Schizosaccharomyces pombe: one gene and its partner. The protein of the gene in region 2 binds, or shares a complex with, the protein of the main gene of each other region. Each region holds a gene or a part of one and is shown on either strand. Other genes may lie near its edges.

Evidence for each region.
Region 1: rxt3 (region 2) and laf1 share a complex: the UniProt entries of both Schizosaccharomyces pombe proteins name them as parts of the RPD3C(L) complex.

Annotation. Positions count from the first base shown.
Region 1 is NC_003424.3:5,247,876-5,255,811, forward strand, and holds laf1 (clr6 L-associated factor 1 Laf1), read right to left. Parts: upstream 4,360-7,936; 5' UTR 4,160-4,359; coding exon 3,266-4,159; 3' UTR 2,645-3,265; downstream 1-2,644. Other genes in the region: vtc2 (polyphosphate synthetase), read left to right, coding at 1-48, 256-2,292; RFC-like checkpoint protein Rad17, read left to right, coding at 5,483-5,693, 5,737-5,840, 5,898-7,403. UniProt on the Schizosaccharomyces pombe protein: Component of the RPD3C(L) histone deacetylase complex (HDAC) responsible for the deacetylation of lysine residues on the N-terminal part of the core histones (H2A, H2B, H3 and H4).
Region 2 is NC_003421.2:1,042,398-1,050,761, forward strand, and holds rxt3 (Clr6 and Rpd3L histone deacetylase complex LCCL domain subunit Rxt3), read left to right. Parts: upstream 1-3,069; coding exon 3,070-3,101; exon of another isoform or gene 3,102-3,147; coding exon 3,148-4,171; 3' UTR 4,172-5,060; downstream 5,061-8,364. Other genes in the region: cox9 (cytochrome c oxidase subunit VIIa), read right to left, coding at 242-383, 446-480; taf8 (transcription factor TFIID complex subunit 8), read left to right, coding at 1,434-1,527, 1,584-2,158; SPOM_SPCC1259.16 (uncharacterized protein), read right to left, coding at 2,225-2,306, 2,360-2,490; SPOM_SPCC1259.08 (uncharacterized protein), read left to right, coding at 6,206-7,390; pyruvate dehydrogenase Pdx1, read right to left, coding at 7,690-7,975, 8,018-8,249, 8,298-8,364. UniProt on the Schizosaccharomyces pombe protein: Component of the RPD3C(L) histone deacetylase complex (HDAC) responsible for the deacetylation of lysine residues on the N-terminal part of the core histones (H2A, H2B, H3 and H4).

The DNA of each region.
Region 1 (7,936 bases), on a different chromosome or scaffold from region 2:
AATGATGAGTCTAAGTTTGTTTCTGTTATGGATGCCCAACTGGAAAAGGTAAGTAGCAAGCGAATATGTCTTAAATTTTGTATTACAAGGATTGTAATTAGGAGCTTAAATTAATAAGTAGCCTGAAATTATCACACATTTTATTTTGTTGCTCCTGTAGAATGCTGTTATCTAAAATTCCATGCTTGGTATAAATCCTTGTATTTTAAGAAAAATAAGCTTATCACGCTTAACGTTTGCTAACATTTTCTGTAGGTTTATGCATTTCATCTCGAAATTTTGAAAGAATTAAATGAATCAGTGGATTGGGTAAAATCTAAAGTTTCTGCTTCTCAGGAACCTGATGGTCCTCCCATTTCTAAGGAAGAAGCCATCAAGTTACTAGAACGATTGGATTCTTGTACTGAAACGGTTAAGAAGTTGGAGAAGTACACTCGTCTTAACTTAACAGGTTTCTTTAAAATCGTTAAGAAGCATGATAAGCTTTATCCCGGCTATTCTCTTCGTCCTGTGTTTCAGGTTCGTCTTCGCGCTTGTCCTTTAGGCAGTGTCCAATTTAATCCTCTTTTAGCTGAAATTTTCTCTCTTTATAATACTTTACGTGATGGTCTTTCAGCACCAAGTAACTCCGTGCAAGTGAAACCGAAGCATGAGCACAATGTTGATTACAATTCTAGTATGTATCGTCGTCGTACGTTTCGTTTTTGGGTCCATCCTGATAATGTGATGGAAGTAAAAACATACATTATGAGGCATCTTCCTGTTCTTTATTACTCTGGAAAGCAAGGATTTGACAAAGACCAAAATGGTGTATCTGGAATTTTGGATCCTATATCAACTTGCTTGTATTTAGATAATTCCAACTTTGATTTATATTCTCAAAATTTGGAACGATCAGAACAGGCTTATTCTTTGCGACTTCATTGGTATGGAAAGTTAACTCCCAAAACCGATATTATCGTTGAACGAATGGTACGTCAAGGAAGTACTCTTTCACATAGTGAAGACCGGTTCACTATCCGCGAGAAGAAGGTTAGAGAGCTTCTAAGTGGGAGATATGATTTTAGGAAGGTTGAGGATGATCACTCGACAACTGCTTCTGATCAGAAGAAGAAACTAATTGAAGATGTTGAACAGCTAATCGTTGACAATCACTTGCAGCCTGTTCTCCGTTCTGTTTACACTCGTACCGCATTTCAGATTCCAGGCGATGATGAGGTTCGTATCAATCTTGACTCAGACTGGGTTATGATTCGTGAAGACTCTTTGGACATCGAACGTCCTTGTAGAGACCCCGAAGATTGGCATCGTCACGATATTGACGATGCTGATTTCCCATATAAGCACTTAAGAAAAGGAGAGTATTCTCGTTTCCCTTATAGTGTCCTAGAAATCCGTGAATGTGTTAGATATGATGAAGACGAACCTCTTTGGATCTCTGAATTGCGTAATTCTCATTTAATTTCTGAAATTGATGGTTTTTCGAAATATGAGCATGGTGTTGCAATTCTTTTTGAAAAATACGTATCTCTTTTACCAATGTGGGTATTTTCAATGGATCAAGATATTCGAAAAGATCTTCAAGAGGTGTACTCCCATCCCGAGGGATCTGCGGGCTCTCGAAATGTTTACATTAAACGTAGGAATCAAAGAGTTTTAAAGCAGAATATGACACCCGAACCTAGTCAACCCTCACCTTTGGTCAATCGTTTAAAGGCCAATGAAATGCACCCTGTTTCAGAAGAGCCCGAAGATAATAGAGAGGTGTATCGAAATGAGCACGGAGACCATTTCAACTTCAGAAGCATACCTGGTTTGCTGAAGCCATCTACTTATGGATCGTTTAAGCATCATGGTAAAACGTTTGTTACTCCACCCCATATCAAGAAACCAGAGATTCCGCTTAGAGTCAGTGGTCCGATTAAGGTTGAGGCCAAAGTTTGGCTTGCAAATGAGCGTACGTTTTTGAAGTGGCTTCATGTCGTGGTCTTGCTTGGTTCTCTTGCTCTTGCATTATATAATAGTGCTGGAGAAAGACTTGGTCAGGCTTTTGGAGTAGTTTATACTCTTTTAGCTATTTTCATTGGGTTCTATGCTTGGAAGCTTCATGCCAAGCGTTCTCAAATGATCAAGTCCCGCAGTCCTGCGCCAATGACTGATTATTGGGGCCCATTGATTGTAGGAACAGCTTTGGCTATTTCTCTTATTGTCAACATGTCATTTGCACTTAAGGATGCTGTTTATCAAAATCTCATTGAACCTGATCGTTTGCTTGTTAAATTGTTTACTTGAGAAGTTTCGATATCATTCAACATGGGATTTTTCCAACTTTTATTACACGTTGGATTTACTATTTAAATGCAATAAATTTTTAGAAAGCTAGAAGATAACATTTCAGTAAATTCTTGATTTAGATGCAATGTGAAGTTGAAAATTGCAATAAGATTGAAAACTTCATTTAGAGCAGGGCTCTTGGGTTATTATATTGGTTAATTGGTTTGGGGATATATGTTATCGGTTTTTACTAAAATTTGCACGGGTATTGCAAGTTTTTACGTGTCGATTTACTTTTTTTGCAAGGATTAAGAAAAGCTGGATTTGACCATATATTCATTACATTACAACACTGGGGTATATTAATACTGGGATATTAACGTCGGACATCCATTATAATTTCTATGGTTTAATTAATTTAATAGCAAAGAATAAATAATCAATTATTAATTATCCGCTAAGCATTGGATCTAATTGAGTAGAGTAAAATAACTAAAAACCCCTAAAATCCGTCTGATTAGGGAACTGATGGTTATCGGTTATTAGGTATAAAAATAACAATATCTACTGTAAATAGGAGAAACGAACGTTTTTAAAAGAGAGTTATTTCACATCTGTATTAATGAATTTTTTAATACAAATGCTGACTACATGATGCTTTTCATCTTTGGGAGGATAAAAAAACAAAAAGTGAACGAAGGAAGAAAAGAGGGACTTGAGGTATATACTACTGGTTATTGGCCAGATAAAACGATGGACACCGACTTCAAGACGAAATATCCAAAAAAAAAAAGAAAGGTTTTACCGAGATGCAAATGATTGTAAACAAAAAATTCAAAACACCTAGAAAAAAATAAATAATCCAACGAAAATGAAATCCGTGGTTTTTCGAAATTTTTAAATTTGATTATTTCCCTAACCCGCCAAAAGAGAAAAAGAGAGAAAAAATCTATTTTTTGAAAGGCCAGCAGGATTATGAACGATTCGCGAATTAGTCGTCAAAGAAACCTTCATCGTGAAAAGCTTTCCAAAGACGACTAGCTTTGTTCACATCGACACGACTAGCACGTTGAGCATCTGTTTTCCTAAAGCTTAGGCCTTGAGTACGGCGATTGTGCCACTCAGCAAAGATTCTACGCTTATTGTCAAGATAAACGAGACAAGGCAATCGAAGTGTTGCAGCCAACTGTAGCTCAGCAGGATGTAAAAGGTGTCTATTCTCATCATTGGAAAGATCAAGGGGAGGGCCCTTCCATTCGCTACGAAGGGGGCGAGGATGAGAACGTTTATCCAAAACAGACATATCAGGAGAATAATCAGGCAATAGCTCATATGGTGTATTGGCGACATCAATGGCCTGGGTGTTGGAGGAAAACTCCCTACTGGACTGCTTGAAACGCGTATTATGTTGAGGCATTCCAGGATGAACATCTCCTTTTGAATGCGGAGTTGAATGTCCCGAGTCCGGCGTATCAGGAGAACCTCTTTTACGGGTATTAGAAGCGTGCACATCCAGAAACGAGCTGGGTTGCCTTCTTGGACGTTTGGCAGCTGGAGTCGAAAACCTGTATGCTGGAGAATGACGCTGAAGCCATTGCCTTTCTCGGCGAAGCCAAATTTTAGGTGAATCTCGGTACAGATCGTAAACCTTGGAATGCAGTTGCGCAACAGGTGTTGCTGTCGGCTTTGGTTCCACAATAGAATCTTTTGGAGATTCAGGTATTGTAGAACACTTAGGTACATCAACAGTACTTGCAACTTTGTCATTTGGAATGGGAGAAGGCGGCGGAGATATTAGGTACTGATATGCCTTAATGGCTGCCGCACATGTGTCCTTCTCCACATTTCTAGGGATCGAATAAACAAGCGTTTGACTCGATTTCATCTTACCTTTTTCCTTGATAAAGTCGAGCAAGCTGTCGATAACCTTTTCAATTAAATCAAGTAGACTCTGAAATTACTCCAAATTGTTGTTTTTATGTACAATTCTTTTATGCAAAAGTCAAAAGAGCGACCGACTTTAGATGAAATTTACAGCCAACAGCAATTCCAAGTTTCACCTTATGCCAAACGATTGTTGGTGTTAGTAAAATCCCAAGGATGGATGGAACACATGTCGAAACCGGTAGGTAGGGTTAGGTTGTCAAAAAAACATGTTACTTGAATGGTAAATACAAAATGGAAAATAAATGCCATTTTGAAGAAAAAAATTATTTGCCATATTAATCAAGTGGGTTTCCCAAGTTTTTCTTTGCTCACAAGGGTTTCTGTTTCCAGTATTATGCGAAAAATCAATTCCAAAAAGGAAATACATCCCATCAAATATAATTAAGCCAAGCGAAATACTGATGGATAGGGGATTAAAAGTACCACATTAGATGTATGGGTATGAACTTTCTGTAGTGTTGGTTGATTTCTATTCTTGCTCATTTCCCAATGGAGTTCATATCGGTTCTTAAAGAGTTAGAGCTCGGCTAACTATGTTTATCAACAAAATAGGGAGTTTTGATGCAGCAACATTGGATTATTAGACTGCTTCTAATGAAACAATTCCTCCTTTGGTTTCCAGTGTAATGTCGCAATCCAAATCAAGGTTAAATATACTCATTACTATATTCTTAATATTTACAGCTTTGCCTTTCCAGCTGCTAGTTCCTAATGCACTCATATACGACATAATTGAAAATGCCAATTGTTTGATTTTATAAATGAAGAGAAATACATTTCTGTGTCCATTAGAGTAATTTCTCAATTGAAATATATCACTATTTTACTTGTTTATTTATTCATTCTTTATCGTTCAGATGTTCATTAATTAAAAAGCTAACTTTTTTATTGATGATCATTGTTTACAGTATGAGAAAAAAAAGTAAATTTGTAATAAATACTTTCGCAATATATCTTACAATAAGAGAAATGTACAAATAAATGATTTATAAATAAATTATACACATGTCTTTTTTACTCTTCTTTATAGGAAGCAGTTTCAGAGTACTTAAGAAACCTACTCACTTATTCTCTTCCATATACAGTACTTGTATATTTTCACTAGTTCACACATTTACTTGTCAGCAGTAAATTAATCAATTCACTCGTTTTTTTGTGCTGTTAAAATTTTGTGAACTATTAATATATATTTTATCTAATGATTTACAAAGTCTCTACCTTTAGCTTCCTATTTCTTTGTTGAATAAAACATATATCTGGCATGAGGCGACAGTTGTCGTTTCATGAATCTACAAAGAGATCATTAAAAAAGAAGAAAATAAGAAAGATTGAAAAACCTTCTCTAGTTTCAAAAACTTCACGCGACAAAAATGCTTCGATAACCGATATTCATGAAGAAGATATTGAAGCCTTTTCTGATGAAGAAAACAAAATTGTTCATCTCAATAATTTAAAAGAAGATCGATTTCAACGTAAGAAAATTTAAAAAGGTTCAAAAATTAACGGTGCGCATAGTTTGGTTTGAAAAATACATTCCTCAAAAAGCGGCTGATCTTGCCGTGCATAAAAGCAAAATAAGTGCAATTAAGCAATGGATGTTAACGGATTCTTTAGAAAGTGTATGTTAAATCTCCCCTAATTCTCTCAAAAATATTTCTTGGCTAACAAAATCATAGAGGTTACTTTTGATCTGTGGTCCTTCTGGTTGTGGAAAGAGTACCGCAGTTCAGGTCTTGGCTAAAGAATTAGGTTATAGTCTCATAGAATGGCTAAACCCTATGAACCTAAAAGAGCCTTCAAACCAAGAATCAGATACACTTTCGCTCACGGAAAAGTTTAGTAGATTTATGTCTTTATGCGAAACTTATCCAGAGTTAGAGCTTATGGATTCAAATAATATTCAAAAGCGTGGAAAAAATGCACAAGGAAAGAAAAAGTTTATTTTTTTGGATGAAATTCCTCACCTTTCTAAATTCAATGGCTCTCTTGATGCTTTTCGTAATGTCATTCGCACCGCATTGACATCGCGAGGCGCCTTTTCCATCATCATGGTTCTTACAGAAATACAGTTAAACAACTTGGAAGGTATTAATAGTCAAGATCGAAATTCCTTTAATAGCGTGCAGATAATGGGTAATGATCTACTTCAGGATCCACGTGTAACAGTTTTACAGTTTAATCCTATTGCGCCGACATACATGAAAAAATGCCTTGGCTCTATTCTACGTAAAGAGGGTGTTCCCAAGTCTCCAAAGTTGTTGAGTTTGGTGGAGAATATTTGTTCTGCCAGCGAAGGGGATTTGAGGAGTGCGATAAATTCCTTACAATTATCGATCTCTCAATCTTTTGAAAAGAAAGGAACAAAAAATATTAGAGAAGTAAAAGAGGGGAAAGGAAAGGGGAATGATTTTAGCTTAGAAGCTGCGCAGGTTCTTGAACGATTGTCAAAAAGCGATTCGGAGGCCTACGCAAGATTTAAAAATTATAAAAGTGCGTATATCCCAAAATCCGATAAAAATGAGAATTCGTTTTTCAAGAAGGACGTTGGCCTTGGAATGATGCATGCCATTGGAAAAGTTGTATGGAACAAACGGGAAGGAGATGATGAAGTGCTAAAGGCTTCATCTCAGCAAACGGGCAATTCGGAACGAATAAAGGGAGTAAAAGTCAGTAAAAGCCAAGAAAACAAGAATTGTATTTCATTAAAAAGTGACCAGCGAGAACGAATGCTTAATGTTGATCAATGCTTTACTTCCAAAAGACGAAGCTTGGTGGATATCGAATCGACAATCAACCAGAGTGGATTAAGCGGATCTGTTTTTCGTTACGGACTTTTTGAAAATTACGTTGATTCTTGCGTTACAACGGATGAGGCTTTTAATGTATGTGATTTGCTGAGCATATCTGACTGTTTGTCCCATGATTTTCCGTACTCCTACACGGGAGATGAAATATCTACGTGGTTTTCAGTTCAAGGTACATTATTTTATCTACCGTCTCCCGTTCCACGAAAGTGGAGACAACTTCGATTCCAACAGTGGAACAACGAAGGTATTGTAAGAGGCATTTTTGATGATTATATGGTAATTTATGGAAAAAGATCTGTTTCTGATCCCGTTATTGAAGCGCATGAAGATCAAGTTTTAGAAGATATTGATGATCCGATTGAAGATGAAGATTAATGTTTGTAAATACTTAATGAGCCAAAAAATTAAACTTCTATTGATATTAAACATACAAACAGGTACACTATAAAAGACATTGGAAATGGAAGTCTTGACAAGGCAGTAGCGGTTTTTTATTCTCCAATAAATTTTTGGATATATTAAGGATTCGCTTCTATTTCACCAACGGTGAGTTTCTTTACCGAACTATTTAACATATCCATGACATTGTGTGAAAACTCAATGCTTTTTAAATTTCACAGAGAAATTTAAATCCAACCACCTATTTTGGGCACTATGTATAACTTTGTAGACATGGTATACACATTGCTGAAGAGCCACCATCAACAAGCGATTTTTGGTGTGGGATATTTGGGGATAATTAAACAAGGAAACTAACAACAATATAAGTTTTTCAATTGAATAACGGATCATTTCGCTACACCAAAGCCATGGTTGTAATATCAGACTTCCTTTTTTTTTCAAAGTAACGATTCTATTGCTTGCAATCCACACATTACAGAATTCCTATCAGCTCGCAAGCGAATTTT
Region 2 (8,364 bases):
CAAGACAGAAGACGAATAATAAAACTACTTTTTAAAAATTTGTGGCATATTTTGAAACTTAACCAGTGAATATCATTAGTCAATTACCGCGAAAAAGCCTACAAAGTTTGAATCGGCAGCATTCATAATGACAGTTATTCGGCTTGGAGAAAAGGCGTATTATTGTTGATTCGAAGGATGTACCTTTTAGAAATAGATGAGTTCGTCCAATGTTGGCGTTGGACTGTTATGAAATCACAACTTATTCTGCATTTTTCTCAGCAGCAAGCTTAACGTAAAACTCTTCACGTTGTCTAGCAGCAGGCTTGTGATAGCCAAACCACCAATAGCAGGCACCGAGAGTGCCAAGAATCATAGTTACAGAAAAGTCTGTGACAATTCGTCTAATAAATTCGTCAGTTTCAGCGGATTCAGACATACGGCGTTATTCAAAACCATTCCTTACCTTTTAAACATTCCAGTTACAGGACCGACAGCCATTTTGATGATACAGCAATAATTTAAACAACTTCAAATATTTGTCAAGAGAGGGGAGTTGGTATAAGAAATGTAAGCAGAATCCGACTTAGTTTGTGTGGACAGACGGAGGTGATCTTCTATTACTCACTAAAGTTTGTTAATTTAAGATTTCAAAATTCGAAGAAATGTGCTATATTTCAAAAACAAAAAAAATAATACAACATAATGAAGATAAGTCGGCCTTTGAATGGTCTTAAGCAACTAGTAACGATACCTATTAATAGTGCACTCGATATATATTGTATTACTTTTTACATTTCTAAATTTCTGCAAATTTTTTACGTTGTTTAACGGTACAATACCATCGTATATCATATACTATTGATCCTTAAATACCATAATTCGAAAGGTAAGCTAAGAAACATTGTTTTTCTTGTTCTGTAGCGGATGAGGCATAGATACTCGCAAGTATTTATTGATTGAATGACTTTGTTCTAACTAAATCATACCATGAAGATTGAAGTAAAAATAAATCTGTAAAAGTTACATTTTATGCTTATTTATGTCTTTTGTTCTGAACAATTCATTATATCCATTTAGTTTACATGATTAACAATAATTGTGCTAGGATGTATTTCGCTATAGCAAATAGCAAATTGCTGTTGATCGCATTATATATGAATAATGCAGCACTGTAACACGAGCAGAGTACTTGGTTCGCACAAAAAACTGTGACGAAAAAGCTTAGAAAGTGCATTCTGAAGGGATTCTAGTTTTACCTGAATATTACTGAGAAAGAAGACATTTTCGATTTTTTTAATTAAAAACATACATCGCATACATTCAAAATTCGCTTCTAAATTAAATATAGTTCAAAATCGACGCAAAGTAAACGAACGTCTCTAAAAGCTGCACTAGCAAATCAATAAACTATAATCCTTGAGCCTAAAATTTATAATATATATATTAGCAGCATGGAAGCCGTGATCGCGAATATTCTACAGCAGTTGGGATTCGATAGCATGACTAAAGCAGCAGAAGCATCCTTTGTTGAAGCTGTGGACAAATGTAAGTCCTGTCGAACCGAGAAAATTAAAATTCTTTATTTCTAATAGCAATAATAGATTTGAGGAACTCTTTTCGAGAACTTGCTCTTCATACTCAATTGAGCAAACACACAATTCCTACGACTAAAGATGTGGCCTTATGGCTCAATTTGTTGAATATACCCATGTCAAGCCTTCAAACAGAATTAGAAAAATATTTAAAACCTTTACCTCCTGCAATTAATGATGAACTAGATAGACTGGCCAATGAAAGTCAGGATATCCCTTCAAAATTCAAATCATCCTTGGATTCGAAAATGGTATCTCAACTTTTGGGATCCCTGGCAGTGTCTCAAAATAGACCAGCTTATGTCGTTAATCATTTACCTCCTTTTCCTGCATCACATACTTACATGGCTACCCCCGTATATCCCGTTCGTCCTACATCTCCTAAACAGATTCGTGAACTCGCAACTCAAGAATCCAGGCTTGCTGAACATGCTCTTCGTAAAATTTTAAATGTTAATCAACCACGTTCTGCCGATTCGCCTCGTCATGCCTCATTTGAAAAAGCGTGCTCCGAGCTAAATCTCGATGTTTCGTCATTTCACTTAGTAAATTGGGAATCCCAAAAATGGAGCTCCCAAAGGTGAATATACTTGTTAATTTCTTTCCTTTTACGTTAATCAAAAAAAGATTAACTTATTTCCTTTTTTTTTTTAATTTTTCTCAACGACAGGTCCTGACTGTAACCCAATCTGATTTGACATTGGTCGAACTTCCTTCATGTGTCCATCCACCCTATTTTTGCATTAGCTTTTCTTTCTCTATAATAATGTTCCCTATAGACTTACACTTGAAAAAATCTTTGAACTGTAATACAGACGACGTCGTTCTCATGTGCACTTACTTTTTCACAGATATATTGTTTCATGCATTTATATGCCGGCTTTTCAAGTTTCTCTTTATGACTTTTTTGTGACATTGCGAATGAAAATTTCCTTTTCTCTTTGTGCAGTTAGTTCCGCTTTCAATCAACCTATTTTTATTATTTGTCGCTACTCCTTCATTCAATAAAATTGCCTTGATCCCCTCTTTCTCTTGTATTTAAGTAGTAAAATAACGTAAGGAGTTAATAAACAAATGAAATAATAGAGGCTCTAGTACAAATTCTACGCCACAGGGTTTTTCGATCGTTCTGTGCGAATGTAACTAAGTTGTACTTTTTTGTGTATTTACGAATATTTGCTTTAAAGTAATCGCTATCAGACTTGTCTTGCAACTGTATTTTTATAAAGTTCCAGCATAAAGCAATTTCTTCAGTGAATACGCAGCATCTCTTCATTACACCCTTAGGTTATTTGAAATGGGTAAAATCCAAGTATGAATAATCTTATCCAAGGTTTTGAAGACTAATGTCATATGCTAACGACAGTAGATTATATGAAATGTATGTAGACAAATACTACCGATGCTTTAAAGCGCATAGCGATTTTTACCGTACTATGGTTAAATCAAGCCTACAAATCTCGGTGACGAGTTGAACATTAGATTATAAACATTCATGGAGGAAAAGACACCAGAAAATGAGCAATCGTATGTATTTCAGGGAACTTTTTTAGTTTGTTAAACTAACTTGTAGGAAAAAAACATTTGATCCAAAGGACTCTATGAAAATAGAAGAAACTAGTACAAATGGTAGCTCACAGCCATCTCAACCTTCAAATATCAAGCTTTCTATAGGGTCTATCTTAGAAAGTTCTAATGATAACGGAGATCCTGAGTACTCGGAAAATGGAATGGGGAATATGAATATGAATACTTTACCAATGGCTACATCGACACCCATGTCATATACCAAACAACCTTCTGAAGCCAAATATCCAAATTCAGTTTGGGAAAGGAAAGGGGTTTCCGACCAAGAGGAAAATACAAGCTCTGTTAAACGTCAAAAAACTCTTCCTACTCAGTCATCAGGAGAAGAGGAAGCCAAGTATTCACATCCTGGAGCGCCAACGGCTACAAGTGCTGATTCCATTAGTATGGAATCGCGTCCATCCAATTTATCAACTTCCTTGTCCAAAACGACATCTTATCCGCAATTCCAAGTTCGACAATTCGTTTCTCCGATAATCAGTATAGATAATAGTGCGTTGGAACCTTTTCTTAACCGATATCCAGCGTCTGAATCTTTATTTCCAGTCACCGAATATGAATACACTCCTTGGCTTGAATTTCCTCTTTTATATTCCTCAATTGGTAAGTTCGTTCGTGTGACAATCGACATCAAATGGCTGAATGCAGCCATCAATCCCAGACTTTGCAGACGAGAAATATGGGGGACCGATGTGTATACTGATGATTCCGATATTGCTACTATACTTGCCCATTGTGGATGCTTTTCTCTTTTGAAGCCAGTCAGAAAAATTGCCGTTGTCGACTTGTACATACTTCCTCCTTTAGTTCATTACAAAGGCACTAGGAAAAACCAAATTGAGAGTAGAAGCTGGTCTTCTCGTCAAGATGGCATAAGTCTTAAAATAAAAGAAGTAACTTGGAAGCCAGCGTGTGCCTCAATTTTTGAAAACTCCATACATACACTCACTCTGGAAGAACGGCTACAAGCTCGCTTAGAGCTATCACGCTCTTCTACTTTTAAAATCTAATTTTTTGATATTATTAATCGGTTTCTTTTCAAAAATATTTTTTTTTCTTTTTATATATCTGCCTGTACCAAGAAATTACTTATTTTTCAACACTTCATTCAATTTCACTTTCGCGAATTTACGGAATCGCAAAAGCTTCTCGCTCTACTTCGCTAACTGTCTTTTTTGTCTATGTCAAATTCGTGTAATAATGTGTCCGTTGATGTGCAATTACTACATAAGCAATTAGCGTTGTACAATATCGCATTGGTTTTGCAAAATTCCTTTGCCTTGGCGTCCTCGTTCCTAGTTACTCGTGCGAACGCTCGCCTCCAAAATTAGGTATCCCGCAGATAGTATATTGATCCGATGATCATAGCAATCAATAGTAGACTTCCGCAGTCTGGTTTGGATATTTTCGGTTCTACAATCAAAGTATATACGTTTTTAATTTAAATACCTTCAATACTATTAAACCCTTTTTTTTGTTAATAGAGGCCTCTTTTTTTTTTCTTTTTTTTTTTTACCACTGCTTTATTTACATGACAACGATACGTCGGTCTCATTACTCGTGCCATAACAACACAAACAGACAGTTTGTCTTTGTTCAGCTGATTAACTGAAGATACAAAAGAACAACGTGAATAATTAATTATCTGGCATTGTCTAATTTCCTCCGTGTATTGAGTATTGTTGATTATAAAGTTTGCGGAACTAATGAGGACGCGGAATGGAATCATAGCGGAATTACAGAAATTTTCATTACTTTTGCGCCGTCGTTTCAAAATGTAAAATTGCCGCTCATTATTTAAATTTCAAAAATCTAGGGCAAGTTAAAACATGTAGAATATATTATTTACGAGTATAAAATCGATGGTAAAACAAAACTTTGAAAATATTCGAAAAGGTGTAGCAACCTTTTAGGCGACGATCGTAAGACGCAGCACACTGTACATCAATTTATCCTTGTTGGATGCTAAATATTTATTTTTGCACTAACAACTAGGGCGGCGGCCAACATCATACATTACATATGCGTTAGACTGGTTTTCGGAACCCTACCCTAAATAAGGCTGAATGACTTGAGAGCGGGGGCGGTACGCTTTCTTCTTTTCCCAACCATAACTTTGGAGTACACGACATAAATAAGAGCGTTGCCTTAAAAGCCGCGTGCAACTCAATTTCTGGTATATCAAGATTCCAGTTCTTGGTTTCTGACTGGTTCAACGACTAGCCATCTACTACTCAATTGGTGAATTGGACGACGAAACTGTGTATTATCTTGTTTCACTTGCTAAAGAGGAGACGTACATCTGAGGTACAGCACTCTATTAGTCTTAATCGCTAAGTGCTTTTTCGATCCCTCAAAATTATCTGCAGGATTGCAAGGTCGTCAAAATCACCGTGATTTCTTTTATTACGTTGGTAAAGTCATTCAAAGTACTGAGAAATTGTTGTTGGCGATTTTAACTCAGTTTTGCTTTTGCTCTATTTTCAAAAAGAAGAAAAACGATCATATATATATTTTATTGTGAAGACTATTTGAGAATATTTTTGGAAATCATGTATTCTCTTTAACAAATTCACGTGAATATCTTCTTTCGTGTCGTTATAGGTTCAACAAGTAATTCTTTTATCGACTTATAGTATTTTTTTAAAACTTGATTTTTGCGACGCTCGTCTTACTTACTCACTGCTGTCCAAGTGACTTTTCGTTTGTACCTCTCATAATTTTTTATTTATACTTCTTAAAAACTTGAGCCTCTCGTTGTTTATCACTTATTGATCGATTGACTTCATTTTAAGTTGATTTTTTTCTATCTTAACTGTGCGATTTTGAAAGTTCAACTCATCTTTCCTTTCAGCGAACACATTTAACTAGCTCAGTTACATACATTACAGCTTTCGTTAAAAGTCTCTACTTTAGACGTTATCATAAAAGATTATACAATCTGCTTTTGTCTTCTTTGCTATTGCTTGATCGTCTGGATACTATCCTTACAATTGCACTAAATCAAACCATCTATTTTCTTATTTTTATTAAGGCATCCATCGATGACTGGGTTACTTAGTATACTTTTGCATTACAAAGGCAACGGCGACTTGGCTACTACTGACATCCCTTCTCACGAGAAAATTCCGTCTGCTAAACGCACGGCTGTACAATTTTGTATTGGTCCGACCCATGAGCAGTCTCCGCGTATGTCGACCGTCAGTCAGGGCCGAGTTACGTTTGCAGTGTTACCTACAAAACCAAAAGATGAAGTTACCTCCATGAAAGCTAATGGCTCTCGTCAATCGTCTTGCATCGTTTCAAATGCCCGAAAACGCCAGTCTGTTCATTGCCTTTCTAGAAGTCCAATTCCAAGCACCCGACTGAAGGAGAATGACAGTAGACTCTGCAGTCCTCTTGCTTCTCCGACAGGCGGACTAAAGAGACCAGCAAAAGTGTCTTTTGCACTTGCTAATACTCCTTCCCGTAAAGGGAATCTTGTCCCACAGTCACCTAGGAGAACTATTGCTACTACTTGCAAAGGTGTTTTAGAGGATGTATTGAAAAAGGACAATGAGTTGAAGTTTAACGATTCTGATGAAGAAGATGAAGTCGATGATGAGGAGATTGAAAGTTTCAACTCATTTTCTCGTAAAATGCAAACAATCAGTAACTCTCGTTATCGTGGTTCCCCGAAACCAAACATTGAAAAGCAAAGTTGCTCCTCTGAATCCGATCGCGTTTCTCAAATCAGCGATGATGAGGAAGATGAAGAGGGATCCGCTGATGAGGAGGATGAGGAAGATTCAGATGTTGAGCTTTCCGAATCTTCCTTATCCGATGATGAGGATTCTCCTCTTCGTTGTCCTTCTACACCAGTCCAAACAGCTGCTGCTCCAAATGAAAGTCAAATTCCCGATGATACGGATTTCGTTCCTGGTACATTTGACGAAGATCAACCTGCATGTTTAGCTTTTGCTTGTTCCTTAACGCACGCGAACTCTAAGAGATCAATAATGTTGCCCCAGGATATAGATCCAACGTTTCCTGATTCGGAACCAGAAGATGATGGTCATGCAAGTTCTACAGTTGGCTCTCTTTCTAAAGAGGAGGCCCGTTTTAAAGCTAAAGCCAAATGGAATTACAAGTCTTCATTTTCCGCACATGTGTCTTCTGAAGTTTTGCGCAATAGCAAGTCACCACCTCTTGACATTGCTCGTAAAGCAGTCGGCGCACATCGTGTTTAAACCAAAGAAAAAATTGGATAATTATCCGTTCTTGTACATTAATAAATGGAATAGTAAAGTTTAGTCGCATTTAGTCATCTAAGGTTGTTGTTATGTGCGCATTTTCTTCATGAGTTTCATTATGCTTTGTAGCATTATCCATTCGTTACGTTATCATTTGTTTGTTATACTTGTTAAAAAATAACATATTATTCCAACCAGTTATCGAGTATTAACAGAAAATATGTATATTAATAAACTATTTTACACATAAAAAGTACACAGTGTTAAATAAAACTAAGATCCCAATTGTGATACGATCACCAGCGCGATAAGACAAATTCTGGATTCTCAAAATTGCTCTTAAGGCAATCTACAAACTTAATTGCACGGCTTTTGCTGATGTTGTCCTTGATGGACAATGTCAGGGTCAAATCCTCAGTAGTAGATGGCTCCTCGTGACGATTTATTCTGGAATCGATACTATCGCTGTTGCTACCCAGCAGCATATCATAAACATCATCCAAAAATTCAACGTTATTAGAAGAGCTTTTTGTCACAGAACTGAAGTTCAGCTTTACATAGTCGCTTAAATTGCTAGGTAAACTGTACGGTTAATATCAGAGCAATCGCAATGAAAAGTCTTACCCTATCATAGAATCACGAATGTATTTGTGTAAATCTTTAGTGTTATTGTTTTTTGGGAATAGCTTAGGTTGAAAATTTGAAACCGAAGACTTTAATTTTACGATTGGAGCGCCTAGAAGTAAATCGTAAGCAGATTCAATTGAGTTAGGTTCAACTTTCGACAATTCAGATATAGAAAGAGCATCACCAATCATTGCTGAGACGACTTCATCAATACCAAATGCATCTTTTTCTGAAAAAGATATTAGCAATAAAATATAATAAAAGGACATTACAATACCTTTTCTTTTAGCTAGCAAAGATTTTAACTTTTCTAGTGAAATAGATCTCTCAAAAGTGATATATTC